Struthio camelus: one gene and its partner. The protein of the gene in region 1 purifies or fractionates together with the protein of each later gene. This does not show direct contact. Links are inferred from orthologs where the notes say so. Each region holds a gene or a part of one and is shown on either strand. Other genes may lie near its edges.

Evidence for each region. The genes of interacting proteins can lie anywhere in the genome.
Region 2: the proteins of TRAF3IP2 (region 1) and IKBKB purify together in Homo sapiens (affinity purification with western blotting; 3 studies listed by BioGRID, with this or other methods). This does not show direct contact. The link is inferred for Struthio camelus from reciprocal best matches to the Homo sapiens genes TRAF3IP2 and IKBKB.

The regions. Positions count from the first base shown.
Region 1 is NC_090944.1:61,206,562-61,214,419, forward strand, and holds the start of TRAF3IP2 (E3 ubiquitin ligase TRAF3IP2), read right to left. Parts: upstream 3,005-7,858; 5' UTR 2,780-3,004; intron 410-2,779; exon of another isoform or gene 306-409; intron 1-305. UniProt on the Homo sapiens protein: E3 ubiquitin ligase that catalyzes 'Lys-63'-linked polyubiquitination of target protein, enhancing protein-protein interaction and cell signaling. Transfers ubiquitin from E2 ubiquitin-conjugating enzyme UBE2V1-UBE2N to substrate protein.
Region 2 is NC_090968.1:7,907,806-7,914,781, reverse strand, and holds the start of IKBKB (inhibitor of nuclear factor kappa-B kinase subunit beta), read right to left. Parts: upstream 3,013-6,976; 5' UTR 2,928-3,012; coding exon 2,823-2,927; intron 2,723-2,822; coding exon 2,628-2,722; intron 1,890-2,627; coding exon 1,772-1,889; intron 1,033-1,771; coding exon 963-1,032; intron 1-962.

The DNA of each region.
Region 1 (7,858 bases):
AAAAAAAACAAAAAAACCAACAACAAAAAACCCCCAAAACCCCAAACCAGGCATGCAGTGAAATGGCTGAAACATGTTGTAACCATCTGTGAAACTCAGGCTATCATTACCGAGGGGGGGGGGGGGAAGGGGGGGGGAGGGGAACAAAACCGGAGAGAGAGAGAGAGAGAGAGAGAGAGAGAGAGAAATTTGAGGGAACAACCCCCCCGCCACCCGCCCCAGACACGCAAACCAAGAAACGAAAGTGGGTCACCAGCCAACCGCAAACAGGGACCGAAAACAGCAGCGCCCTTCACGCTTCCTACCTTGAAGGTGAAAGAGGCTCAGGCCAAGCCGCCCCAGGGAGCTGAAAGGGGCTGGGGTGTCTCCGACCCAACTCCTTCGCTCTGCGCGCGTCCGGGCCGCTCTCCTTGGCCAGGAGATATAAATATATATATATATATTTATATGTGTGTGTGTTTGTGTGTGTGCATATATATATATATATATATATTTTTTTTTTTTTTTTCTTCCCCCTCTCTCTTTCCTCCTTTTACGACACCCTCCCTCCGCCTCGCCCAGGTGAGCTGCAGGACAGGCTCGGCAGCAGGAAGAGGAAGGCGCAAAGGGATGATGAGGAGCGGGAAGGCTGCGTCTGCGGCCGGCGGCGAGCCACGCAGCGGAGCAGAGCCGCCCCGGAGCGCCGGCGGCCCGTGGGAGCGCGAAGGCTGCGCGTCTCCCTTCCCCGCCGCCCCGTCCCCTCCGAGAGGCGGCCGGGCTGCTTCTGTTTGAACCCTATGGGCAAAGGGCTGCAGGGGAAACCCAGCGCGATTCCTGAACAATGATGTGCAGTGTCCCAGGAAAACTCATCCTCCTCCTTTTTTTTAAAAAAAAAAAAAAACAAAAAAAAACTCGGTTACTTATCGTCAATTCCCCGAGTGTGATTCAGACTACCAAGGAGGGGAAGGAAAAAAAAAAATCGCGTGATGAGTGTGAAAGTTATACAAAGTATGAAAACAATTTCTTGTCTTTTTTTTTTTTTTTACAGTCAGACTTTTAAATGCTTCCAGGCTTTTCGCTGAGCTCCTGAGGAGCACAAGCTCACTTTTACACAAGCTGCAATCCCTACACCTTCGCGTAACCCCAGCGGGAACAGCACGGCGCGATGGGTTTTTAAGCCACCCGATAAATCACGCTGCGTGCTCAGGCAGCGCCAGGCTGCTCGCCACGACCACGTCCCCGCGCTGGCTGGCGTTGCGCGTCCCGGGGCTGCAAAGCTTTCACGACTTCCCTGCGCCCTACGTCTCGCTGTCCAGGAGCTCTTCCTGATCCCGAGCCTGCGTTGGCTTAATTTTAACCCTCGCAGGAGCCTGCCTCACAGGTCCTGGCTGCGGGCTTGTGCGCCGCTCTGGGCGATCCCTGTCCGCCTCGCCCCGCAGACATTTATAGGCTGCCGTCGCGCACGCCCTTAACGCTTGACCAGCCAGCCTGCGCGCGCGGAGCTGCTTAAATCGCCCCCTGAAGTCAGTCGCTTCAGCGTTGCCTTCCTCTCTCATTCCTGGGCAGCAGCAGCAGAGGAGAGAGCCGCCGCCGCCACCCGCCGCGTCCCCCGGTGTCCTCCCGCGGGGGGACGAAGCGGCACCCGCCGGGCCCTTTGCTCTCTCCCTGCTCCCCGTGAAATTTCGGCTCGCCGGTTGCCAACTGAGCGCCGGGGCGGCCCGGGGCCCTCTTCCCTACTCGCCTCCCCCCCAACCGGCCGGGGCGCTGCTTGTGCTCACAAGGCTGAATCCCAAATAACTCTCTGCTAGTAGTTTCTTCCCTCAGAAGAGCATTAGCTCTCTAGCTTTTAATGCCCGTGGCAGCGGGGAAAAAAACGTGTCCCCTTGGCTGCCCACAAACGGCCCAGGCTTTCCGCTGCCCGAGGCAGCTGCCCAGCTCTGCCAGGGGGCCGCAGCCGGCCCCGGGGGCCAGGAGCGGCCCTGCTCCCGCGGCCCTTTTCACATCAGCTCGCCTTTTAAACCCTCTGGTTGCAACCCAAACCCAGCGTTTCTGCTGCAGGGCCAACGGCGGCGTTTTTAGCCAGGCCGCTTTTGTCAGGGGAAAGGGGGCTCTGCTCCCAGCCCCTTCCAAAACTGGTGTTACAAGGTGCACGCCTGGTGAACGCAGAGCTACAGCAAGGCAGACGCCGGCCGCAGCTGCCCGGCCGGGGCGCGCAGGGCGCCCGGCGCAAGTGACGCGGCCCTGGGCTGGGGGCTCTCCGCTTCCCGGCCGGCTGCATCCTGGCGGTGACTCACTCAGGCAAGCTCGGCCCGATGCCGTATTCACTCACTTATAAAAAAGACAGGAATTTGCTGCAAAAACTGAGAGAGGCTGGTTTCTGTTCCTGTCAAGGGAGGGGAAAAAACAGGAGGTAGGAGCCCTCCCTGGTCTCCTCCGGCTTGGCCAGGGCGCGAGGGCGGAGGGAGGGAAAGCGGGCGCGCTGACGAGCGGGACGCTTCCCTTTCCTTGCAGGCGGCAGAGGCGAGGAGGAGACGAGCGAGCGCATCAGCAGAGCCAAGCGTAATGGGCATCCGCATCGCCGTTTAGCTGGCGCGACGGCCTGCGCAGGCAGAAGGGGACGCGTAGCCGTCGTCCCCGCAGCGCGCGTTAAGCGCCTCTCCTTCTCAAGGGCGAAACGTTTCCCAGTTACGCGCACGCAGGGTACTTCTTTGGCAGCCCGACCGCCGACCCTCCCAAACCCAGCCCCCAGGCTCGCTCCTCTCGTAGCGAACTTGGGCAGACACCGCGTAACGTTACTTACAAGCCCCTGACAGACTTGGCTCCGAAAGCATCAAGCAGCCAGGGCTCCTCAGCCGCTGCGGCATTGCGGCAGCGAAAGGGTCGCGCGGGTCGGGAGCCGCGCGCGCACGGGCCGGCGCCGGGAGCTCTCGGATGACAGCCAGCAGCCCGAAACGTCCAGGGGAAGACGTCTCGCGAGGAGCTGACAGCTGCCTGCTGGCCGCCCGCAGCCTCTCTGACCCTGCGCGAGGGGAAATGGCAGCCAGCAGATGAAAACGATTCGCAGCTTCTTGTGGCCCCTTCATGGTTTCCCTTCTGTTACTATGGAAATGCACACGGGTTGGCAGAAGAAAAGGTATAAGCACGCACACAGAGAAACAAAGTGCAATGTATCTTTAAAAAAAAAAACAAAAAAAAAACAGATTAGAGATTTTAAAGAAGTGCGAGGAGCAGTTACAAAGCCTCTCTACTCCTTCTCCAGCTTTCCTTTTCTTTCTTTTTTAAAGGATCGTTGGAAACATTACTATTGCTTTTATGAATGCAGTTGTAGCTTGGGGCCTAATATCACAATATGGCAGAGCTGCTTCTGAAGGCAGGATGCTGCAGTGAGAACGTAATAGTCCTGCCGGCTGCTCTTGCAGGATCGGACCCAATAGAGGAATGATTGATCTATGAAAAAAATACATCAGGTAAAAAAGTTTGCATTTCAGTTTACCTGTGACTTGCTGTCTACATCCCCCCCCACCCCAGTAGTATTTTATTCTTGCACAGGCTGCAGCATCAGTCCCTGTTATTATCGAACAACCAGATGCTTCAGTTCCTACTCAGAGGTGCGGAAAGAGTGGCAGTAGCTTAAAGCATCCTCATCATGCAGCCAAGCAGATTTTTATGCTCTTACAAACGAGAAGCTGGTGCCCCTCAAAAGGAAGAGACCGTAGTTTTCATTTAATTAATGTGATATTTGGAAAAAACGGACAAGCCTGTGAAAACACCAGCCTTTCTTACAGCCAAAGACATGCCTTCTTTCCTTGCCAATATATATCAGTTCCTATCTACATGACTGCTTATGCATCACACCCTAAAGCATCACAAGGTATTAAAAAATTAACTAGCCCAGGAGAGGGGACCAGAGCTGCAAGCCACGGGGTGGAGGCACCGCTGGGCTTTGGCACATGCTGAGTTAGAAAGTCTCTGAGTAGCAGCTTCTGGGGCAAAACCAGGGATTGGGGAAGGGAGCATCACCCAAGTCGGGGTTTGGAGCACCTGCCCAAGGAGCCCAGCCCTACATCCCAGCAAACATCTGCGACTGAGTTAGGACTAGATCACTAAACTCCCAAATCCTCTTTAACCATAAATCCCGCCTTCCTCTCCTAAGGAAACACCGAGATTCAGACTTGCGCCTGCCACACGCCAGGGCCTTTCCCAGGGGCTCAATTACAGCCTCCTCGGGAGGGGATGGAGCCCCACTCAGGCAGGTGGAAAGTGTTTACCGGTTATTATGGGAGGAGGAGATGGGCGGGTAGCTGGCTCGTCACCAGGCTGAGCTTCGTTAGCCCAGCAGCGCTCCTCACCCGGGACGATGACCGAACTGCTCCAGATGGGAGGCTTTTTGCCTGAGCTAAAAGCACTCCAGCTATTTCGCCTGCTCGCTGACCTCCGCACCGGTGGGATGCTGGCGGCCTGCCCAGGAGCAGCGTGCGGCAGCTGACGGCCCTGGCTGCAGCCCGTGGTGGCAAAAGGCTGCAAGGGGGTCCAAAGCCACACAGGAGTCAAAATCAGGGCCTCGAGCACGTGCCTTGGCTGGTGGACGCCTTGCAGTTAGCGCCTGGCTGTAGCAGCCGGCAGAGCTGGGCAGATTTATTTCCGCAACGAGGGTGTCATTATCTTTGGTGTTGCAGCTGATACGTGCAGGCAGGGTGGGAGAGGGGAGGGAAAGCTGTTCTGATTAGTACCTGATGTTCCTGGAGTTCAAATAAAACGCTTACACGGTTCCTATAGTGCCTTGATCAGCTCCTGCTCCCGGCTGCAGGGAACTGCGGGAAGAGTCGCCCCGGGGGAACGGCGGCCAGAGCCTCGCGGGTGGGTGGCACTTAGCGCTTCTCAGCTTCGCCCAGCGGGGCGGGCTCCCTTTCTCACGAGGGCTATGAAAAGTCTTCTGTCCTTCTCCACCGTTTATACACCGGACATGAGGCTAGACCCACCAGTAAATGACAGCAGCTGCCGGCCTCCCCCCTCCATCCAAGATAGCTGCAAGCCTGTCGGAGGAAAGAGGCTGTGGCTGTAATCACCAGCCAAGGGTCCTCGCCAGGGTCTCGATCCAGTGCGGCTCGTGGTGGCCGGCGTGCGTTTGAGGCTCTATGGGACACGGCTGGATGGAGAAATGGCAAAGCCACAGGCTGTTGGCTTCAACTGGCTGCATAGAAATGCCCCTGGCAGTTAGGTAGCCTCATTCAGTGTTCAGTCTCCTGGGGTTATTTCTGTTCTGACCGCGTGTACATATCTTTATTTGAAGTGGTGTTTGCGGCGCAAAGGAAGGAGCGCGGAGCAGCCTGCCTCCTCAAGGACATGATGCCCTGGGAGCACTGTGTGAAATCTGGCCTTCATGTCAGCGCTCCCAGGTCCATCAGTCACGCCTGCAGGCCTAAGGATATCTGTGGCCGCGACTGAAGGACCAGTCTCTGTCCCCTCTTTAGCTTGCCAAACCCCAGAAAGCAGCAGGTACTGGGAGTATTTCATCTCACTTGAGCTTCACGTACTTCATGAGCCTGAGAGACAGGGAAAAAAACCTGAAAGGCGCTCTCTGCACACTGTTAACAGCACTGTTGGCAGAGTAGGGTTTAAAAGCAAAGACAAAGTCCAGCCTGAACCTAAGCCCCCCCCCCCCCCCAAAGTTGTAGACCTGCTGCCAGTTTTGGATTAGGAAACTTAGAGAATAGGTATCTCAGTTTATTTCAGCACTGCAAATACTGAAAGCCTGTCTCTCTCCTTCCCCAAAATCAAGGCTACAGTAATTGCTTTCTGAAGGCCTCTTTTCTGTTTCTGGAATCTTCCCGCTCACTTCACTGGAAGCTGGATCAAGCTCTGAACTCTTTAAAGTTAGTATCTCATCTGTACACTATTTTAAAGCAGACTGTGATGTGTCATATTGGGGGCCCATCATGGAAAGTACAGATTAACATTCAAACACAGGGTGACTATTTCATTGGCAAGGCAGATAATGTGAAGCCTTTTTGTAGTGAGCAGTCGCTGGTCCTTCAGGAGTTGGAAAATTTCTTGTCTGTTAGGCAGAAAACGTCAGTGTTGAGTGCCACTTCTTATATTTTCTACTGCATCTATTTATTCCGAAAACTCTCTCAATCATAAATGTTTTGCTTCCAAATGATTAACTGCTCGAAAAAAAGCACTGTAATATTGCTTGACTTTTAAAAATTAGTGGAGCGAATTTATGAAGAAACATTACGACGACCATTTCATTGCTTAGTGTAACGTTTGTGACCACCGCTTTCTCCAGTTGCCTGCACTCCGCTAGCTCCTCCCTGGCTCTGCACCGCGAGGGAAACGGGCCCTTTCTTCCCTCTCCTGCTGTTTAAATTGCCAGGCACGTGCCTACAGACATCTTCTCCACTAATTTTTTTTAGGCCTTTGCTTTGGCATTTGTTAGTTACGCCCCGAGAGACACCTAAACGGAACGAAAGTGGTACCTATACGTTCGCTTACGCAATGCTTCTAATTAAGCCTTGCAAAATGACAAAAACCCTCTTGCCATTTGTTAAAATTTTCCCCACAGCCTTATGTATCCTCTTAATTAAGAGCAGAAGCTAGAGAGTAATACCTATTTTATTCCCCCTCGCTTCCAATTAGTCATCCATTGATCATTACCCACTCGACGTTTGACAATGAGCAGAGCCGCCACTCTCAGCAAGGCCAGGGTAGCGGTATGTATTTCTGCAGCAATGACACGTCTGAAATAACGCAAGTGGAGCAGCGTGGGTGAGTGATGGGGCGAGAGGTAGGGGGAAGGGGAAGGGGAGGCCACCCATGTGGAACAAAAGACGCGTAACATATGCAAATGTTCAGTATGTGGTATGTGCTGTAGACGCGGGACGTATGTGATGAGGTCATACACAAAGCTCGGCTGGAGGCCTCACTGTGTTGGGGAGGCATGGGAATTTGCGGGAAAAACTTCAGTTCTCCTCTGATCAAAAGTACCTAGTCCTCTTCCTTGAAGACGTAAATCAGTTCCTGTTGTGGCTCTTTGCCGTTGCTGTTTCTAGAAGACCAGGAGTTTATCATCTGCTGCTCGGTAGTCACCCAGGCTGGGGTCTGAGGCTTGCACAAACGCAGCTCACTTCAAGTCTCTGCCGGCCCCAGACCAGCTTGCAGGAATGCCCAGGCTGCAGAGGGTGGCTGGCCGGAGAGTGTACCAGCCCTCCGGCAACGGCCCAGGACCCTTTTGCTAGGACCATTGCAGCAGGTTTTGAACACCCCAGGACCCTTCCTGTGCAAGTAGCAGATTCTGGCTGGGAAAATTCAGCTGCCTTAATCACAGAAGCAAATAAAGTGCAGGTGAAGCCAAGGCATTTGGGCAGGCTTTTGGCATGTAGCTCAGCTCCAGGTCTGCGGATAAGGCTGTAACAGTTGAGAAAGCTTTCCTGCAGCCTTTTCTTCTCCCTTCCCTCCCTCCCCCCCCCCCCCCCCCCCAATGAAAATGCACCATTACAGGCCCATGCATCTGTTACAGGCCTCGGGGATTTTGTACGTGGCTGTGACAGTAGGTATCTGAGCAAACTTCACGAGACTCCAGGTGCGGGGCTCAGTAGCAAAGGCTGATGCATAAAAAAGCAAATCAGAGCCCTCAGCAAGCTATGCCTCTGCTGTGGAGGAAGGAGGATAATCTCATTTCTTTGCTCTTTGCCCTTTTTGCTATTCACAGAGCTTAATGCTGAATTATTCCCAACAATGAGCAGAACAATCAAACTCCCATCTGGCTTACTCAGTCAGACGTAACACTTTCCCTTCAGTCACGGACACGCCGCTCTTGCAATTTCTTGACCAACTTAAATATATTCTGTTTACCCTCCCCCTTCCCTTCTCCCCTGTA
Region 2 (6,976 bases), on another chromosome or scaffold:
AGTAACCCTAGGAAGACCAGCTAAGCAGGGATTGTAAGTGATCCGAAGAACAAGTTATATCAATAGTTGAAAATGGTTCTGCTTGGTTGTGGTTCGGATCGCACAACTGGAGATTCAGAACCGTCCCTCTTGCCATATACACACAAGCACATAAACACAAACTGCGCTCTAAACGTAACCTACCACTGTCTCCGGTCAGTTCTAAGTATCTTTTCCTGGTCAGGAAGGGGGTAAAAGAATGCAGACAGCAGAGTACAAATGCTCTGGGAACATAAAGGACAGGAGATTCTGCCTAGCAGTAGGAGTACTAATGAACACGTGTTCCTCCTCTTGCCACAAGCTCGCTTTCTAAGGATCAACATGCCCCAAAACCACTTTTTGAATCTCTTCTCTTTAAAGCCTTAGCACCCGTCCACCTGCTTCACCTCAGCTGTGACCCACATAACAATAGCCCCCGACAACAACATAGCTTGCTAAAACAACAAAGAACAACAATCACCAGCCTGAAAGTCTCTAGACAGCTTTCTCTAATCTTTGCATCACACTGCAAACATCAGAACTGTCTCAAATTCCACATATTGGTGGCCCAAATGCTAATGGAAAACAACTGATCACACACACTCTGCAGTCCTGTTGATGAGCTAATAAACTGAGGGTGGAGAGATGATGTGCAATATAAACTGGAGTCACTTGGCAAGTGTTCAGCTATCCAGAACCTTCCAGGAAATCCTGAGTAGCATTTTTGCTGGGAAAGAAAATCCATCTCAACACTGGAATTTCAAGAACGGAAAAATCAGAGGTTAGCTTTCTTGGAGAGGACAGGCAGAACAAGACCGGAAGCAAGTATACCACTCAAGGGCCTAAGATGGAGCCATTAAGGTCACTGTCACATAGCCTTCAAGTGGATTCAGCAGTAAAGGGCTTCCACAGTTGGGACAACTGAAGATACTAATAACACTTACCAATATCAGACAACAAGATGAGAATAGCTTCTTCCCGCAAGCCACAGCAATTTTCCAGCTGATTCAGGTACTGCAAGAGAGCAGCACAGAACATAGGTAATCTTTCCCTCTTGTGTCCTAAGCGAGGGTCTACATCCCATAAGCTCTCAAGAATGTAAGAAGCTCCAGTGACAGCAAGGAAATGGGACTGGGACCTCTGGTAGCAATAGTTAGAGCTTAAGACCTTGGTCTATCCTGGAGAGGAGAAAGGGTGGCTAGAATAAATCAGTATCACCTCCATCCTCTTCCTTCTACCATCTCCACCCTTCATAGCCATTTCCCCTGTGCCTTGCATTATCAGCTCTAATCTCAGCTGTACACTCTGGGCTTTATCTACGGGCAAGTTATAGCAAAGGTTAAAAAAACACCAAGATCAGAATGGCCACAAATTATTTTTTCCTATGACAGATAGAGGTTTATCAGTTCCGGGAAGGATAACGCCCACAGATCTGCCCTATGATGCTCTTGGCCATGCTCACAGCCTGTCGTACATCCCTCTCACACACCCTCATCCTCTACATGCAAATTCCACAACCTATCACTTGTGGCCAGACAAACATAGAAAGTTTCAGAAAATATTTAAGTTTTTAGAAACGGAACTTTTCCGAGAACCAACCCACCAAACGTTGTAGCTACCGTGACATGAATTTGGAAGCAGCAGGGGACAAAAACAGAGCTTTTATACTCTGAACTAAACTTTTCTGAAGACAAACCCCAGGTCTCATCCTGCTGAGGCCCCTTAGTCACCATCTCCATCCCAGTGACCTCACCTTGCGGAGGTCTCCACCTTGGCAATACTCCATGGCCAACAGTGGCAAGTCATTTGGTGCAAGCTTCTGCATCCCTTCAGGGACATCACGGGCAGCCACTACATTGGGATGGTTCAGCCTAGGGAGTGGAAACGAGGCACATATACATATCACCTCAGCCACGGCAGAAACCTGAAAGCTGATCATTCTACAAGAGCTCCACAGCTTCATGTGCACGTGTCACTCTAAGCCCTACAGGGACGTTAATCCTTTTAGAAACCGAACCAGTGCATTCTCGAGGCCTGCAGTTCACTCATCCTTCACAGACCTAGAGACTCATCTCAACTCTTTGCATTCAGGGCACAGCGAGCGCGCATAGCCTCAGTGCGTGGTCAGTGCATTCCTCCAGTGAACAGGCACAACGGATCTCGGCAAGGCCTTTTCCTGTAGCTCCGAGGGAGGAGTCTAACGCAGCCTGTTAGCATCCTTCAAAAAAGATCCTACCTACTTTCAGGCTACTGCATCCCACACAAGTAATCCAGCGTCTTGAAAGAGAACCCAACAGAAACATTAAGTCAGGCCAAAGAGCAGCCACGCTGCAGAACTGTTATAACACTAGAGACAGCAGCACAACCTCTGGAGAACGAAGCCTTTAAACCTCGAGACGCAGAAGCTGAGAGAAAACACAACGCAAGGTTTTCTTGGGCGCGCCCCCGGCTCCTAGGCGCTGGCCTCCGTGGAGGGGTAGGCTCGCTCCGGGGCCGGGCAGCGGGTACCGCCTGCCTCTCCCGCCGTTCACCTCAGCGCCGCCGGGAGCGGCAGGCCGCGCGCAGGCCGCGCCCCGGCTCGGCGGCGGAGCGGCCGGCCTCGCCCTCACCTCTTCATGATCTGTATCTCCAGCGCCCAGCGGTCGCGGTTGCGCGGGCTCAGCTCCTGCCGGCACTGCTTGATGGCCAGCTGCTCGCCGGTCTCCTGCGGACACAGCGCGGGCTCGGCTGAGCGCGGCCGGGCCGGGCCGGGCCGGGCCGGGCCGGGCCGGGCGAGGGGGCCCGCCGCCGCCGCCGCCGCCTACCTTGTTGTGCCAGCGGATGACGTTGCCGAAGCCGCCGGTGCCGAGGCGCTCCTTCATCTCCCAGGGGCCGCAGGTCTGCGCCTGCAGGGCCGGCGGCCGGCTCATGGCGGGGCCGCGGCGCTCCGGCTCCGGCTCCGCAGGGCCTGGGCCGCGGCTGCGTCCGCTTCCGGCGCCAGGGGCACGTGGTGCGGCCGCCCGCCCCGAAAGGGGCCGCGGGCCGGGCGCGCTGCAGCCGCGCGGGGCGCCGCGAGCCGCCGGGGGGCGCCGCGAGCCCCCTCGTTCCCCCGGAGGTCGGTGGCGTCTGCTCGTCTGTCTGAAGTCGAGGACTCGGGGAAAGGGGGAGTAGAGCTCATGGGCTATTTAATTACCTAAAGTGACAGAGCAGCTGTCTCCTTCCCACAACTTCATTAAAATCTGCTAAAGGTACTGAAATGTACATTTTATCTCAGCCCCCACCACCCCAAATCAAAGTACCATTCTGCGCATTACATCATTTTTAGGTATTGCTTTCTCCTGACGACTTGCTATGGGTTGGGTGAAGTTAGGTGCTTTAATGCCACTGCAAACTCATGCATGGTGGCACAGGGAGGGAAGCATGCAGCTCGACATGCAGCACAGGCAGTCACATCCACTGCAGGCTGCCAGGGCCACCAAGCACAGCTGTGCCATTGGGGGAGGGAATGTAGGCCAACAGCAGACCACAAGCATGGCACAGCTAGACAGCTGAATCCACTCAATGTGTTTGTACAAAAGTTTATCCTATCTCTTGTCAATAACCTCTGTTCTGTTGCCAGCTTCTGCTAAACAAACACATCACACGGCACTTCTTCCTCCATTGCTTCCAGTCTTGGAGGCCTCTCTTAGCTAACTGCAATTCCAAAGAGACACCTGTACTGTAGCCAGAAAAGATTAAGTGGTCTGTGCTTACCTCGAAGGAGCTAACTACTCTGAGTTCTGGGCACAGTAAGAGCGAGCCTGTTGGGGAAGGAACTGCCAGTCTGACGGAAAAGGAATGCAACTGCTGCCCAGGAGGAACAACTGCTCCTGCGCGCTAAGCCTCTTTGAGAGGGAGGGGGGAAAGTAAAAGTGAAGGCAGACCAAAGATGGAACGGTATGGGAGCATCCGATGCCAAAGTCTGCCCTATTCTGTATTGCTGTTCCTTTGAAAAAGGATTAACAGTTCGTTGTTTCTCAGTTACACAAAGAGCTTTCTTCACTATAAACGTTTGGATGAGCTTAGGCATTCTGAAGAATACAAACTGCTTGATCAACCATCTCTGGATTACATTCTGAGGGTGTAACGCCAGCTGAAGATGACAGGTCTGAGCTATGAGTATTTAGCTGGATGAAACTGGATGAAAGCAAAGAATATTCAGAGTCCTGCTAGGCTGCCAGAATACTTAGCTAAGGATCTAGAGGGGATTCGCAATCCAACACGTCATGAGGCACTATCAGTACACCTAAACTATTTATGCTTATGAACTAGTTTTGTGAAGAGCTGCAATACCACTTTTAGACTGCAATGCAAGCAAATCCCTAGTCTTTGCCATTATGCTAAATGGCATAAACTCGACAAATTTTTCAACTGTTCTTTCAGGTGTGGTCATTTTGTACTAAGGATTCCAAAGAATCTTGCCTCCACTATGCACATGGCCTGCAGCCCATTTTCTAAACAATTTTTCAGGCTCTTCTTGGGTACAAAAGCTACTAATTGCTGATAAACAGGTAGATCTGAATCAGAGCACAGCGTACATGGGATGGGAAGACAACGACACACTGTGTCCTTAATAGTTACGGATCTGGTTACAACCCTCCTCTTAACCCAGGCTTCTACAGCAGAATTTTGCTCACACATTCAGAAGCAGAGCTGTCAGATCAGGATACTGATGCCTGGACTATTAAGTCTTTACAGAACAGCTATGACCAGTCTCCCAGTTGCCCATCTAATTCCTGTTCAAACTAGATGATTGCCACTCAGGAAAGGCATAGAGAAAGCCTGTTACAGCCTCATAACTCTTCAGGAAAAAAAAAAACAATGCTCTTCCTGTGTCAGTTAGTGGCCTGACAGGAAGTCCTTGGTTAAGCACAGAGTCTCTTCACCTAGTACCAAGTACCCATGTGAGAATAAGGAGCTGTTGCTGATAATCATTTTCAGCAACATATTTATAAAGCTTATTTATAAACTTATTTATAAAACTAAGACTTAGTAACTAATCAGAGTGAGGCCAGCCTAGGTGGAGAAGACAGCACAGGGTGAAACAGTACTGTTATTCAAATAACAGAGCTCAGAGAAGGTGCAGAGTGAAGTGACCACAATAAACTTGGCTTCTGGCATTAGACTGAACTTACTTATCAGGACAGAAATGCATCAATACATCCTACGAGAGGAGACGGAGGTTTGGCAGTCACTGCACTGAAAGAAGACAGTCAAGATCAGCTGCTCAACACATACCTTCCAGGACAAAAGCACATTCCGTATCCTGATTGCTCAGGAAAGCTGCTGCCCAAAGAGAGTGCCAGAAATCCTCCACAGCTATGGCAGCAAAGGATTGCCAGAAGGGGGACGCACAGACTTCTGACATGGTTATTGAGGTTTTGTTACCAAAAGTCCATCTCTAGAGAATGCAGGCAACTGGCGTCCCTGCCAGTAGCATCCATTTTCAAAAAAGTCTATCCTCCTTACTGCTAGAACACTTCATCAAATTACTTCTGTGCATCAAAACATTCAGACCTAGTCACAAGCAGAACAACGGCAGAATCTGAGTAGCTTTTTGCACGTACTTCAAGTAACGCTGAGAATAATCCCTAAGAGGATTTTGTATAAGGCAGAGGTACAGTGACTATAAAGCAGTGATCTGTGCAAATACTTTATTCATACCACAACATACTTCTTTCACCTTAGCAGACAGTGAACTTTCCCCCATGAAACCAGAAAATGGCTTCATTTTATATCTACATTGGTAGAGAGGTTCCAGCAAACGTGCAACAGAGGGGGCTCTTGAACTTAAGCTGCCTGGAGCGCTGCTCTCTTTACTGCCTTGTGCCCAAACTCTGCATGCTGCAAACACACACACACACACACACTCCAACAACCCCGAAAAGCCCAGCTCCAAAGAAAACATCCAACCCCATAATACTATTGTTTAACGCATTTAGCAATAAGCAGTATTGCAATTCACTGAGAGCTATACGCATGAGAGAACCTAACACTCTAGAGTCCGTCTTGTCAGATACCTATCTGCCACTCATGCAGATACCTATCTCCTGCTACCCTAGTTTCAATGTCTCACTCATCCATCACATATCATTATCCTGGGACACAGATTTCTACACCGAACGGTTTCATAAATATCATTTAAGATACAAAGCTAATGCAGAAAGATATGGCTAAGAGCAGCACCCTTCTTCAGGAGGGTGCAGTCTCTGACACACAGTTGCTTCAGCAGTGAGCATGCACCTTCCTCTCTAGAGAGAGCGGAGGGCGACAGGCAGCTCTTTGGAGCAGGACCGTGTTATGCTTGGTTTGATATGCTGACGTACACGTTTATAATGGGATATTCGAAGAAGCACAATTAGATTTACATCCAGTCTGGGCACCTCTGAATGTACTCTCTACCACTTAATAATAAAAATAAAGCTGGAACAGTTTATAGGTCTTCTACGTAAGACAAGTAACAAGTTGGATTTAGGACTGTCTGCATTTGGACACTTAAAACTGATTTTTAAAGGTATTTAGCTGTCTACCATAGGTGACAATTACTTGTTTTTAAAATATCAATCTAATCCTAATTATTAGTATGGACAACCATGCAAAGGGAAGCAACCTCAACATTGGTCTGTCACAGAGAGATGAAACTGTTGATGCAGTCTTTACTGTGATGAGGATAGCACATATACATGTGAAGTAATACTGTCTGTGAAGAAAAACAAAAAACAACTCCCCCCCAAAAGGCACCCCCCCCCCCCCCCAAAACATGAATTCCAGTGCTCTCAGCATCTCCAGAGATCACCTGAGCCCTTCACCAAGAGCTATGCACACTACCGGAAAAAGGCATAGCAGATTAAACTTTTCTCTAGAGATTAAAGTTCTCAACTTAGCATCTTTTAATGTTGTTAAATAGACCCGACCCCAACCTTCCAATTTCCAGGTTTGA